Diceros bicornis minor: one gene and its partner. The protein of the gene in region 2 purifies or fractionates together with the protein of the main gene of each other region. This does not show direct contact. Links are inferred from orthologs where the notes say so. Each region holds a gene or a part of one and is shown on either strand. Other genes may lie near its edges.

Region 1 (7,674 bases), on a different chromosome or scaffold from region 2:
TTTCCTTATTTATCTACTTGTTTATTTTCTGTCTCCCCAGAACTACAATAAAAGCTCCACTATTCTTGTAGACTGTTGCACTCCCAGTGTCTAGAACAGTGCTAGGCATATATAATAAGCTTTCAATAAACATTTTGGAAACAGTTGGTTCAAGGGAATTGTGTTCTCTCCTAGTCCTCAAGATGGTGATTCTCAAAAGAAGAAAAACAAAAAATAAAAAGGAAAAAAAAAAAGATGGTGATTCTACTCCCTCTGCCCAAGTTTGAGACTGGAAGTTTGTTTACTCATCCATTCAATCATTCATTCATTCACTCAACTCAAATCCACAGTTAACTACAGGACACCTGAAAAGGTACCACAGGGAACATGCAACCAGAATGACCTGTTTCATAACTCAAAGTAAGATTTTTTTACATGGCACTTTACAGAGAACCTAACTTCTGCCAAATATGTAGTTTTGGCAAGACTTCTTCGTAGTTAACTGCCATCTCAGAGTTACATGCAAGAGGTTACATGACTCTCCAAAGTCATGAGTTGAGAACTCAGCACTCCAGTACAAGGCAAAACCAAAGACCTAAAAAATGTATTTGCAAGTGCCCAATCCCTCTTATTTACCATCTATAGTCATTTGCACAAAAATAAATAACAAAAACCAGAGGGTAAACGTGGCTTTCCAAAACTTGCACCTCCACTGTCTTCACTGTTTCTAATCTCACTAGCTGGTAGCAGGTACTGTCAAACTTTCAACTTAAAGAGCACTGTTCTAAGGTTATGGAGCAATATTGGTGCCCTGGTGGACAGGCTGAGTCTTGATGCCACAGGGAATCATGGTAGAGCAGGTGCTAGGACCTCGGGCTCTGGAATCAGCAAGGTGCAGAGTCAAATCACATCTACTAACAACTACGGACAAGGCCCCAAGCAAGTGTATTTTATTTTGTTTAATAAACAATCATATAGCACTTACTAGGTACAGGCAGGGTTCTAAATACTTTACAACTCTAATATGATTATTAGATAAGTCAGATGTTCTATTACTATCCATATCTTACAGGTGAGGAAAAAGGCACAGAAAGGTGAAGTAACTTGCCCAAAGTCACAGCAAGCAAGCATCAGAGTCAACATTCAAATTCAGATAGCGTGACGTCAGAATCCATGCTCTTAACCATTACACTGTTTCCTCTCTAACCCTGTTTCTTCATCCATAAGACAGGGCTAACAGCTCTGCCTTATCTCACAGGGTGTTGTGAGATTACTGGCACACAATAAGGTAAATATGAGCTACTCTTAGTGATAGCAGTAATTACCATCATTCTATTATCTACCTTCATCTTTGGTTCAGCCAAGGGCAGAAGAAAAATATTTCGGCTGAGAAAGATCTCCAAGGCCCTCTACAGTAGAATACATTAGAATATAGTGGAAGCTCCATGAGAACAAGAATTGTCTGCTTTGCTTATCATTGTATCCAGAGCAAGCAGTGGGTGCTCAGTAAATATGTGGTGAATGAGGTAGGAATAAACTGAATGCATGGGCAGGATTCTGCAGATATGACAACTAAGGTAGTACCATCACTTCTCAAAAGTAGCCAAACACAAAAGAGGTAAATTTACAAGGTTCTCAGAGGACAGTATTAGCTGGCCACTACTTAAGACAGCTGGCTACTGGGAGGCAGTGTGGTATAATGCTGTTCATTCATCTTAGCTGAATGAACAAACAAGGAGACTTGGATTCTAATTCTGACTGTGCTACTGGAAGTCACCCAGGCTCTCAAGGTCTTGGAATGTCCATATGTGAGAGGCTGGACCACATGATGATCATAAAAAAAAAAAAACATATTCCTCTTTCTCATCACTTTATATCAATCATCATAACAATCTGAGTAGAAGCCAATTACCACGTACTCAATAAATGTTTGTCAATGAAGATCCATCACCAACTGACAGATGAGAAAACTGGGATTCAGAAGTAACTTGCTCAAAGTCACAGGGTCACGGTAGAACATGAACTATGGCTCAGATCTCTTTCTATACCAGTCTAACACTCATGCTTCCCAAGATCCTCTCTCAGTTCAAAAATACTGTGATATAAGTCCTCTCTTCCAAGCTTAATAAATCTGTAATCATTTATGTTAACAAATAATCTTGCCTGATTTCACAACATCTTGGGACAGAAGGATCAGGAAAAAGACAACTATTTCCACATTGTTAACCTACAGAATCAAAAGATCTGAAGAGATAATTAGGGGAAATCCCTTGTCTTTGCCCAGAATTGAGAGATCAGAAGTATTTTAAGGGCCGGCCCCGTGGCTTAGCGGTTAAGTGCGTGCGCTCCGCTGCTGGCAGCCCAGGTTCGGATCCCGGGCGCGCACCAAAGCACCGCTTCTCCGGCCACGATGAGGCCTCGTCCCACATACAGCAACTAGAAGGCTGTGCAACTATGACATACAACTATCTACTGGGGCTTTGGGGGAAAAAAAATAAAATAAATAAAAACTTTAAAAAAAAAGTATTTTAAGATAAATGATGATTTCACTTTAAACCGTATGGTTTAAATTTAAGCAATGTGATAAAAAAAAAAAACTTCTAGTAACACAATGCTTCCTCAGAGTACAGCACACAACTTTTTTTTGTGTGCGTGTGTGAGGAAGATTAGCCCTGAGCTAACATCCGTGCTAATATCCTCCTCTTTTTGCTGAGGAAGACCGGCTCTGAGCTAACATCTATTGCCAATCCTCCTCCTTTTTTCCCCAAAGCCCCAGTAGATAGTTGTATGTCATAGTTGCACAGCCTTCTAGTTGCTGTATGTGGGACAGGGCCTCAGCATGGCCGGAGGAGCGGTGGGTCGGTGCGCGCCCGGGATCTGAACCCCGGTCACCAGTAGCGGAGCGAGAGCACTTACCTGCTAAGCCACGGGGCCCGCCCAGCACACAACTTTTTAATTCTATAGTCAAAGCTGCACGACTTGATTCAAAGTAGATTCACAAAGTTAAATGGAAAAGGTTGTCAGAGAATGTCTATAAGTGCTTGCTTTCTTTATTTTTATTAACAAACTACACGCTTGATATTGAACCTTTGAGTATAATACCTTCCTAGAGCTGTCAAGTTAGGAGTGAAAAAAACCATCTGGAAGTCAGATGTCAATTTTCTAGATGATTCATAACAGGAGAATCAAGGTCAAACAGGAGAGTCAAGATCAAACCGTTGAGTCTCTTTACCCTCCCATCTAGTAATTGAAAAGCAACTAATTGTGAACTCAAAATACTCGACTCTGGTGCTCTAACAAATACAAATGTCAGCTCAAGGATCACACTTTGGTTCAGAAAGTTCTGTGAGGATAGGTTGACATGAAGAAGAACAGAGGGGTAAGTAGGACAGACGCTCAGGTCACAGCACTTCTGTGACACTCACAAAGCAAGAACTGTCATCTACTTTCTAGCAATTTCATCACCTAACAAATAAGAAGAATCACCTCACCAGATGAGTAAACGAATCAAATGTTATGATGAGGAATAAAACCTGTCTTGCAATCTTGTGCAAAGGTGAGAGACTACTGTTATTACTATTTACTACGTCGGGGCCCAGATTTCCTTGTATTCTTGGCTATACTGTTATGATCCGCAGGATCCTCATAAAATGTAATAGGGTACTAGTTTTTTCTCCCGACTCCAGGCCTGCCAACCGTAGATGCTCCTGGCTAGCTGAGAGCCAAGTCTCCGCTGCTGAGAGATGAGAAGAGAGGCCTTCGGGTTCTGGGCTCAGCGGGCTCAACAACGACCGCGCCCCCCAGTCACCTTGTCCTCACCTTGAGAAACAGAACGGCACCCTACGAGAGAGAAGAGTGCGGTCCTCAAAAAGGAGAATGAGGTGCCTCCACTCTTCACCTGGCCGCCGCTGCTTGGACCCACGGATCCCGTCAGCGGGGTCTGGGCTGGGAGAGCTGACTGAGCCGGGGACGCCTTGACCTCGGGCGCCGGAGTAGCGGGCACCGGCACTGGGCCCGCGGTCGGAACAGGTACACGGAAAGTCGGCCAGAGGTTGGGTCCGCCTCGCCCTGCCTCGCCCACAGCCGCAGGTAAAGTAGGAGGCACCCCGCCCCCGTGAAACCCGAGGGCCCTGAGCTCGCTCACCTGCAGCCGGGTCACCAGTAGGCTGTAAGGCGCCATTTTGTGCACTGACAAAGATGAGGTCGCGTGAAAGTGACGCGACAGACGGCGTATTTAAAGCCTTCGGTCAGGGGGGGCGTGGCCTGAAGAGAAATGCGTCACGGTGAAGGCGGGGCCTCCAAAGAGGCCCCCAGTGCCCTAAGAGCGCAGTGGGCCGAGGTCCCGAACACGGGAGAGGAAAAAGAGCTGTATGAAAGTAAATACAGGGTACAGTGTTATCTCATCGAAGTGCAAATTTCATCTTTGCACTTTGTCTCTTCCATCCAAACCTAAGAAAGGTATTTTGTCTTAATGACTTTCACGCACCTGCCAGGACCTGGCTCCCCAGCTAACAACGGAAATTCGTCTTTGGAACTTAAAGGTTTTGATCCCGCGAGAGCAAGCGGGGCTTGGTGCAAAGATTGTAATCGCTGATGGAAGCCTAGAGGACCAATCACGGCGACCAGGAGGCAGGAACAATGGAGGTTAAAGGTCGAACGGAAGTTCCCGAAGCTTCTGGTGGCCGGCGCTTGAGTGGGAGCTATGGCTAAACATCATCCGGACTTGATCTTTTGCCGCAAGCAGGCCGGTGTTGGTGAGCCGGCTTCCTTGCCCCGGCTGTCTGGGTGGGGTGGTATTAGGAGCTGGGGAGTCGAGGGTTCCCGTCTTCTTTAGGGTCTTGCTTCGGAGGCGCCACGTTTCCCGCCTCACGGTCGGTAGTGAAGGAGTGCGCGAGTTTGTGGCCTCGGATGAAAAGGGGGCGGGGGCGCGCGTGCTGGGAGGAGGCGGGTAGCCAGGGTGGGGCCCGGAGAAACTTTCAGACTGCCCAGGGCCTGGGAGGGGCTTCAAGAGGGTGTGGGTTTGGTTCGGATCGAAGTTTATGAAGATAAGATGGATAAGTTCCTTCAGGGCTCACTGCTGTCCCTGCTCCTGTCCCCACCCCAAGCTCGAGGATGTTTTTCTCTTCTTCCTCAAAACCTTAATTCTAATTACACTCTTTACTGTCTTTGATCTTGCAGCCATCGGAAGACTGTGTGAAAAATGTGAGTGGAACACGCCCTCCCAAACACCCCACCCTGCCACTCGCAGTGTCCGTGGAGCCAGCAAGAGGGCATTTCCAGTGGTGCCACAAAGAGGGGTTTGAGTAGATGCGCCTGGAAGCATGTGGACACTGAATGCCAGACTGCAACAAAGGCCCCTCCACTTCCCCACTCCAACTTGCATGTTTTAGGTGCTATGTTTAGGTTTCAAGAAAATCTCTAGCTTTGGACAGGAAGTAGCATGACCCCATCCCCAACACAGATCTTTGCCAGTAATTATAGACTTATCATCTAGCAGGTGCTGTTCTAAGCTCTTTACACATTAGTTGATTAACTTTTCCTGTGTGTTGTGGGGATTGTTGAGATGGACACAGGTAAGCCAGGTTCTGTGATGCCAAAGTAGAGGGCCCTACAGTCACTGTTAGAAGGAGACTGGTGTATTTCCCCATCGCAGGAGGAGGGCAAAGGACTTGAGGAGGTACTTGCAAGTAGGCATAATTCCATTCTTTTTTCCTCACAGGTGATGGCAAGTGTGTGATCTGTGACTCCTATGTGCGTCCCTGCACCCTGGTGCGCATATGTGACGAGTGTAACTACGGCTCTTACCAGGGGCGTTGCGTGATCTGTGGAGGCCCTGGAGTCTCTGACGCCTATTACTGTAAGGAGTGCACCATCCAGGAGAAGGATGTGAGTGTATACTGAGCTTTCCAGCTGATCTTTCTTCCTTTTATTTAGTAACACGTTGCCATCCACAGCAAACTCCTATGATCTGTGGAGATTACTATGGTCAGCTAGTTACCTAGGTTATAATTTTTTCAAGTTCTGTAAGCTAAACTGGGTGTAGTCCAATAAAAGGCTGTTATTTTGCATCAAGGGCAAAAATGCAAGAGAAGCAAATCTTGGTCAACACCAGCAATTTGGAGAGCCCTCTCTCTATTCTTTTGATGTCTCTCTGATTATTTTTATTCAGAAACAACATCCTGCATTTTCTAAGTCCTAGCACAGTGCATGGTGTGTACTAGCCACTCAGTAATTCTCTTTACTGTCATTAAGGACTGTTTGGGTGGATGTGGTAACATTTGAATGTGGGACAATTCAGGTTGATTTCAGCTTTAAGCCACTAAAGAATGCCTTTGGTTTGATATTGCAGAATTGATTGTGATTCTATCTCATGACATTTTTGCTCTGTGACATTGTGTGGTGGCAGTGGCTAGTTATTCAACTCCTTGAACCAAATGCCAGCATAGAGGGCTTGTAGATTTATCCAAAGGCAAGTTTTACCATTTTTCTTTAGATTAGAAGCAGCAGGCTTCTTAGGGGGGGAAAAAACCTGGATTAGCTTATTTTCTTCTTATGACAATAAAAGAAAGTGTGATATAGTACCAGTTGGCTAATAGAAGATATGCGTTTACCTAATCTAGGATAAGGCAAAAGATATATAATTGTTAATAGTTCCATGAGCAAAGAGTAGGTAGTTTATAGATGTTTATATAGTTTATTCTTCACAAGAACTTTGATAAATAGAGATTATCATCATCCCCATTTTACAGTCCCGCAGCCCACTGATAAGTGGCAAGCACAGGCTATCTTGACTAAAGCTAGTGGCGTCCACATTACAGCATATTGTCCTTTTGTAAGTCCTTTTTGTCGGCTGTGCCCATGTTGAGGAGAAACAACCCAGCCACCTCAGCAGTTTATGCATTTGGCCAGATAAGACTGTTTCTTACATCATTAAGTCTTCTATTATTTAGGGAGATACGAAGGGTCATAGATACCAAAAACATAATTTCAGTTGGTGATTTGAACATTCTCCCATCCTACACTCTGATTTGCATTTCTCTTTGACTGTCAGATCATATCCTGCTTGATCTGATCCACCAGCTAGGTTACACTCCTTCAGAGAAAGGACCTCAGTTTGTGTATTTGTCTCTCCTTTTCTGCATTTCTTGGTACAGGGTCTGGCATGTTTTGTCGGCATGGTCCACATTTTTGGTGCTGCCCTATAAGTCATCTATAGGAGTTCCCCATACAGAGGGTCTGGTACGTAGTAGGTGTGTGGTAATTATTTATAGTCTGTAAGCAGTGAAACCCTGGTAAGACCCCAGCAGTGAAGAGAAAGTACGAGCAGTTCTTTAACTAAAGAGTCCGTTAAGGACAACGTTCTCTTGGACTTTTGCAGGTTTGTAGCTAGAGTTCTTATCTGGAGTAAGCTTTGAACCAGAGAATGCTTAATAAATGTTAATTGCTGTCTGACTCGTCTGCATGTGGTGTGTGACCTGATATCTTTGGATCTTCGTGCTTCATTTGTAGCTAGAGTTCTTATCTGGAGTAAGCTTTGAACCAGAGAATGCTTAATAAATGTTAATTGCTGTCTGACTCGTCTGCATGTGGTGTGTGACCTGATATCTTTGGATCTTCGTGCTTCATTGTGTCCCTGAGAATTATTCTAGACGTCACTTCCCCTACTTCACGTTATACAGGAATGTTCTGAGGATA
Region 2 (6,940 bases):
AAGTGGAGTCTATGAAGTGAATCATTCAAGGTCTTTGTTTTGTCTTCACTTCTATGTGCCCTCTCAATCCTAACTACCCAAAACTTTTCCCCTCTGTGCCTCTTACTTCTTCTTGCCGTGCTTCCTTTTCTCATTCTCTTCTGCCCTAGTTTCTTGGTCCCTCCTTCTTTGTCCCTTCTCCCTCTTTATCACCCAGAGCGCGGTGATCGTGATTTCAATGGCCTCCTCTCTTCACTCGTCCAGCTGCTTTCAGCCCCTGAAGCCCGAACACTGCTTGGCTTCCAATCACTAGTGCAGCGAGAGTGGGTGGCAGCTGGACATCCCTTCCTGACCCGACTTGGGGGAACTGGGGCCAGTGAAGAGGTGAGAATGTTTTGGGAGTGTTTTGGGGGGGGGGGTATTACTAAAGAAGTAAGGGGATGAGAAAATTATATAGTATAATCCATTGGAGGTGAATCAGGTCAGAAGGGTCCTGAAGTTAGGCTGAGCTTGAAGAGAGACCCAGATGAGTGAGGGACCACAACCCTTTACACTCAATTCAGATTCCATTCCTGACCTTCCTACTGGCTCCTGTTCCCTGTGTCTCTCATCCCGTCATTTTGTCATCCTCCCCTTCTAGGTCCCCACAATCTCTTCCAACCTCGTAATTTCCCTCCTCAGGCCCCAGTGTTTTTCCTCTTCCTTGATTGCGTCTGGCAGCTCCTCCAGCAGTTTCCAGCTGAGTTTGAATTCTCTGAGTTTTTCCTTCTTGCTCTTCAAGACAGTGTCAGGGTTCCTGACACCCTTACATTCTTGAGAGACACTCCCTGGGAGCGTGGAAAGCAGAGTGGACAGGTCAGTGACTTCCATTTTTGACTTGTCTTTTTTTCCCCCATTGAGAAGTACTCTCTGAATTTTAGTCTTGATTTATGAAAAGTGAGGTCTGTCGGTGGGAAAGGGGGAGGTTGGCACTCACTCTCAGGACCCGACTTTCACTCCATCTGATTCTTGGAGTAAGAGATAAGAGTTTCATGATTTCTCTATAGACGTGAGAGAAGGATTATATTTTTTTATGTTTGTTTAACCATCCTTTTTCTTGTTTCTTCTGTCCAGTTCAACTCCTATCCACAAGTCTATACCCCAGGGTACTCCCAGCTCCCAGCTGGGAACTCTGTTAACCCACAGCTGTCTGTCTGGGACTGGGATTTACGCTACAGCAATGAACAGATACTACAATTCCATAATCCTGGCTATGACCCGGAACACTGCCCAGATTCCTGGCTCCCTAGACAGCAGGTGAGGTGTCTAAATTTCCTAAATTCCCTTGACTGTCTCACAGACTCATCCTATTAGATGGCGAGAAGTGGAAAGGCACAGTGTCTGAGTTCCCCAGGGAAAGCTATCCCACTCCTCTTCTGTAGCTGTTATTTATAGTCGCTGTCCCCAGGAAGACAGAAATCCTGGAATTGCACAGAGGGCATCCTTTTTGTCCTCCTCATCTCCTTTCTCATGCACACATTTTACAAGTTTCCCTAAAGTCAACTTTAATCAGTCCTGAGGTCTAGTCTGAAACCTAATGAGGAGAGTAAACAGAGTTCTCAGGGGTAGGCTTGTAGTTCCATCAATAGTGCAGTGTGAGTGGGTGGTTGCTGGGCATTCCTTCTTGACCCGGTTTGGGGAAACTGGGGTCATATGGTTTCCAGGTTGCTAGTTGATTTCTCTTTCTCCTTTAGCCAAGCTTCATGGTTCCTGGACCCCCCAGTTCTGTGTGGCTCTTCTCTAGAGGGGCCCTGACCCCCCTGAATCAGCTCTGCCCTTGGCGGGACAGTCCCTCCCTGCTGGCAGTCTCTTCTCGTTGGCTCCCTCGACCTGCTATCTCCTCTGAAAGTCTAGCTGATCAGGAGTGGGGGCTCCCCTCACATTGGGGAGCTTGCCCTTTACCCCCAGGGCTGCTGCTGCCTGGATATCTGGGACCCCAGATCAGACTCTGGAGACGCTGCTACCTGAGGGGAAGGCCTGAGGTCCAGGTGAGTAGGGAAGACAGGGATTGGGAGTGGGAGAAGGGGCTTGACTGCTGAACTAGATGATCCAAGAGAAACCAGCTATTTCTAGGAGCTGGAAAGGCAAGAGGCTGGAGGGACTGGGAAGTCAAGTTCTATTAGTGTAGGTATCCAGGTGGATACATTTGGGAGTGTGGGGCACGGGGGAACCTGCTTGTGACTTAGATCAAGTGGAACCTAGGGCATAAGTGGAGGGGGAAAGAGAATTAAAGACGCCAGAAGCAGTGGACAGATCTTAGAAGCAGAGAGCTAGAGCTGCAATAATATTCCTCTCTGCCTCTCTTCACCCCACCCCAGATGGGCCTCTCGGCTCCCACAATCTCTGGCCTCCAGGATGAGCTATCCCATCTTCAAGAGCTATTAAGGAAATGGACACCAAGAATATCTCCTGAGGATCACTCCAAGAAAAGAGATCCAAATACCATTCTCTCCCAATCCCGTTGAAATTGCTGGCTTTCTCATGGGCAGGGCAGAGGGCAGTCTACGATGGGGAAGGGTTCCTCTAATCCTTCAGTTTTTCTTATCTGGTCTTGCTGCCTCAGCTTTTACACTCCAGCCCTTAAACAAGCTGGCTGACTTGTTTCCATTGCAGATGGCGGGGTGCTAACCTTCTCTAACTCTTGTCCCGTCTCATTTGTTTCTTATAATTTGAAGAATTAAGAAACAAAAACAATCCAAAGTATGATCACCTCTTTTTTTCAGGGAAATTGCATCCATTTTGGATATCCAGCTGTTAAATTGTGAGATAAGAGATGCTATTCAACAGTCCCAACAAGAAGGTCTACAGACCTCAGTCTCACCTCCTCTTGCTGCTTCTTTAACTCTAATTTCTATTTCTTCCCTTACAGTTTTCTATGGGTATGTGGAGTGGATATGGGAGACACCCTGTCTCTTCCAATTGTGTATTTTTGTAGTGACATTTCTATTAATGAGTTCATTAAAGCTCAGTATTTATACACACTGCTGGCATAGTTTCTTGTGTTTGAATAAAAGATCCCAGGTAAGTGGTGGATGGAGGGTGGCTGTGACCCAAGAGAAGGCGGCACCCACCACATATTGCTAAGGAAATAAGGGTATGTGTCAGGTGAGGCTCTGCAGAATTCATATGCAATTTGGGAAAAGTGTTCTCTTTTCTGTGCCTCTCATTTAGGGGAAACATGGGGCAAAAGCATACCAAGGTGTTGTCGCTGCGGCGAGCGGTATGTTCTGGACGTTAAGACTGAGGACCCCGGGCGTCAGTGTCAACCGCCCTCAGCTTCGGTCGCACTCCATCTCTGAGCCCCAGGTTCCCCTCACCCCCCTGTGCAATAACGATTCGGTGAACTCATACGTCGCTCCAGCTCAGACATTCCGCAATCCCCTCCCCTGAGGGAAAACGAAATACCTGAAGCCCAGCCCGGCGGTGAAGCCGCATCTGCCCAAAGGCGGCTGCCCGGGGTGGAGAGCTGCCTCCGCGCTCGAAGCAGCCGAGTCCTTGGGGTGGGGGGGTTCCTCAGCACACCCTTCTCTGGGGAACAAAAGAAGGAACATTTGGCTACAAAATATATGAAAAGTAAAGTTTTGTTCTTTTAGGTTTCGAATTTACACTTTTGGGAGCAGTATAACCCTTTAACGTCTAGCACTTCTTAAGACGGTCTGAGCATTTCCCTTCCGCCTTCCCCGCCCTCCCCGCTCGCAGCGGCACCTTAACACAAAACCAGCGACTGGAGAACTGAGCGCCGTCTCAGCGGCTCCCAAGATGGCCGCGGCCGCTTCCGGCCCCTCCCCCGCCGGGGCCCCACCCACAGCCTCCCGTACGCCTTCGCTCCGGAAGTGGAAGTAGTGACTGAGTTCAGAGGGCGGAATCGCTGCTTGGAGGCGGCGGGACGTTTTTCGCCATGGCGGCCGGGCCCATCTCCGAGCGGAACCAGGGTGACTGGAGGGGACAAGCCCGGAATGGACTCAGGGCGGCTGGGAGGTCTCGACTAAGGCCAGCAGTGTTTCTACCGGGGCGGGAGACTGAACCTCCGCGGAGGGCGCGAGAGCGGCCCCGGTGCCTGCTGGGGGCGGGGTGGCTGGGTGCGGGCTGAGGCCTGTAGGTGTGATGCTCTCTATATCCAATCCCCTGCTGCCTTCCCGCTCCAAAAAAAAAAAAATTCAAAAAGAATTTGCGGCAGAACTCTTAGACTTCAGAAGATTCTCCAGTTCCTGGAAAGAGAAAGGTGTAAGGGCTTAATCTAACGTCTTTTTTTTTTTTTCTTTTTGCTCCTCTGCCTTATCTTCACTCTCAATTCCCCCGCCTGGATTCCATCTTCATATTTCTGTCACCTCCTTTGCTGTCATACTCTCATTTCTGCTCTAACTTCCTGCTCCCGCCCTCCAGATGCCACGGTGTACGTGGGGGGCCTGGACGAGAAAGTTAGCGAACCACTGCTGTGGGAGCTATTTCTCCAGGCAGGGCCAGTAGTCAACACCCACATGCCAAAGGATAGAGTCACTGGTCAGCACCAAGGTGAGTACATGGCAAGAGTGCATTTGGCTGTTGAGGGGACAAACTGCTCCTGGAGGACCCCAGCAGTATTCACAACTGTTTTGTAATGAGCAACCTAAAGATTTCTTTCTCTTAAGCCTAGCTCACAGTTTGTTTCTGGAACCATTCTCAATCAAAGTGAGATTATTATTTCTTGTTCTTTGTGCTTTCGGAGGTGAATGACTTTTACACCATTTTAAATCACTTCACGTAAGTTGTTAACCTCCTCTCTTCCACTTCCCCAGGCTATGGCTTTGTGGAATTCTTGAGTGAGGAAGATGCTGACTATGCCATTAAGATTATGAACATGATCAAACTCTATGGGAAGCCAATACGGGTGAACAAGGCATCAGCTCACAACAAAAACCTGGATGTGGGGGCCAACATTTTCATTGGGAACCTGGACCCAGAGATTGATGAGAAGCTACTTTATGATACTTTCAGTGCCTTTGGGGTCATCTTACAAACCCCCAAGATTATGCGGGACCCTGACACAGGCAACTCCAAAGGTTATGCCTTTATTAATTTTGCTTCGTTTGATGCTTCGGATGCAGCAATTGAGGCCATGAATGGGCAGTATCTCTGTAATCGCCCTATTACCGTGTCCTATGCCTTCAAGAAGGACTCCAAGGGTGAACGCCATGGCTCAGCAGCTGAACGACTTCTGGCAGCCCAGAACCCACTCTCCCAGGCTGACCGCCCCCATCAGCTGTTTGCAGATGCACCCCCTCCACCTTCTGCCCCTAATCCTGTGGTATCATCATTGGGATCTGGGCTTCCTCCACCAGGTAAAGCTTTTGATTTAAAATATGTTTGTCTTGGGTTGGGGAAGGGAGGGCAGGAGGAAGGAAAAAGAACTTGATAAAGACAGACATTGAGTCAGTGGGTCGTGAGAAGGCTTGAGGGATGATGGTTGTGGTGGGGAAGAAAACTGTTGAGTTTCTCCAGAAAGTTGAAGTTGTATGAGTTGCCTAACATTGCTTCTGGCTTTAGAGGGCTGGGAGGAGGGGAAAGGAGCTCATCCTGCCTGGAGAGGCGTGATTGGAACTGGCTCTCTAAAGATAGTCTCTCCTCACTAGCATTAACTCTTCTTCCATTTCTTCTATAGGCATGCCTCCTCCTGGCTCCTTCCCACCTCCAGTGCCACCTCCTGGAGCCCTTCCACCTGGGATACCCCCAGCCATGCCCCCACCACCTATGCCTCCTGGGGCTGGGGGACATGGCCCCCCATCAGCAGGAACCCCAGGGGCTGGACATCCTGGACATGGACACTCTCATCCTCACCCATTCCCACCCGGTGGGATGCCCCATCCAGGTGGGTGTTCTTTGCTGAGAAAGGGAGGGATGAGCTTCATAGAGGAGCTCTATCATCACTCATGCTGCTGCTTTTTATCCTTCAACAATAATAGTCCCAGAGCTCTCCTTTCCTTCAAACGTTCATTTACAAAAACAAACACAAAACTCTTTACTGTGTTTACTTTACCAATTACCATCCTGTCTCGATTTCTTAGTTAAGTTTTTCCAAAGAGTAATCTATACTTGCTGTTTTCTGTTTCCTTAACTTTTATTTCCATTCTCTCTGACTTCCATTCAGTGCAGTGACCTAATTGCCAAATTAGGGGACATTTCTGCTCCTTATCTGGTTTGACTTTTGCTGTACTTGAAACCAGCCATGTCCTCCTGTTTGGAAATCTTGTCTCTTGGTTTTTCTGGATTCTCCATCTGTCTGCCTGACTCCTCGTTCTCAGCCACCTTAATAAACTTCTTTTTCTCCGCTTGTCCCTAGGTTTTTGTGCTTGGTTCTCTGTTCTGCATAGTTCCATTACTTTTACATTGATGCCTCCTAGATCTATATTTCTGGTCCATCGTTATTAACATTTCAGATCCTTAATCCTGCTGCTTAATAGACAGCTCCACCTTTTTATCCCTCCCCTTCAAATCTATTCTTCCTGTAGTATTTGTTTTCAGAAATCTTGGAGCTATGTTTGACTATTACCTATCACCCCACTCTTAATACCAAGTCTTATTAATATCTCTGGCAACAGCCCCCACTGCCAGTGCCCTGGTTAAGGCCCTCATATTTTCATTATTTCATACCTAATTTATTGTAGTAATTTCCTAGGTGACACTTTGACTCCAATTTCTCTACTGTTGATCCAGTTTCATGGTAATTTTTCTAAAACACAGATGTTCACACACCCTTGCTCAAAATTTTTCTCTTGCTCCCTTTTACCTACAGAGTGAAACTCAGAGTTGTTACCATAGCATTCTAGGCTTTTTGTGATCAGGCCCCTGCCCATTACTCCTGTGACTGCACGCTGCTCCTTTATTACTGAGTTACTCATTTTCCTGGAACGTACTGCGCTGTTTGACATACCTGTGATTTTCACAT

The links. The genes of interacting proteins can lie anywhere in the genome.
Region 1: the proteins of SF3B4 (region 2) and PHF5A purify together in Homo sapiens (affinity purification with mass spectrometry; 6 studies listed by BioGRID and IntAct, with this or other methods). This does not show direct contact. The link is inferred for Diceros bicornis minor from reciprocal best matches to the Homo sapiens genes SF3B4 and PHF5A.

The regions. Positions count from the first base shown.
Region 1 is NC_080764.1:8,965,686-8,973,359, forward strand, and holds the start of PHF5A (PHD finger-like domain-containing protein 5A), read left to right. Parts: upstream 1-4,640; 5' UTR 4,641-4,681; coding exon 4,682-4,733; intron 4,734-5,157; coding exon 5,158-5,181; intron 5,182-5,698; coding exon 5,699-5,865; intron 5,866-7,674. Other genes in the region: ACO2 (aconitate hydratase, mitochondrial), read right to left, coding at 3,799-3,819, 4,124-4,159.
Region 2 is NC_080743.1:54,472,385-54,479,324, reverse strand, and holds the start of SF3B4 (splicing factor 3B subunit 4), read left to right. Parts: upstream 1-3,851; 5' UTR 3,852-3,916; coding exon 3,917-3,950; intron 3,951-4,401; coding exon 4,402-4,530; intron 4,531-4,793; coding exon 4,794-5,336; intron 5,337-5,656; coding exon 5,657-5,863; intron 5,864-6,940. UniProt on the Homo sapiens protein: Component of the 17S U2 SnRNP complex of the spliceosome, a large ribonucleoprotein complex that removes introns from transcribed pre-mRNAs.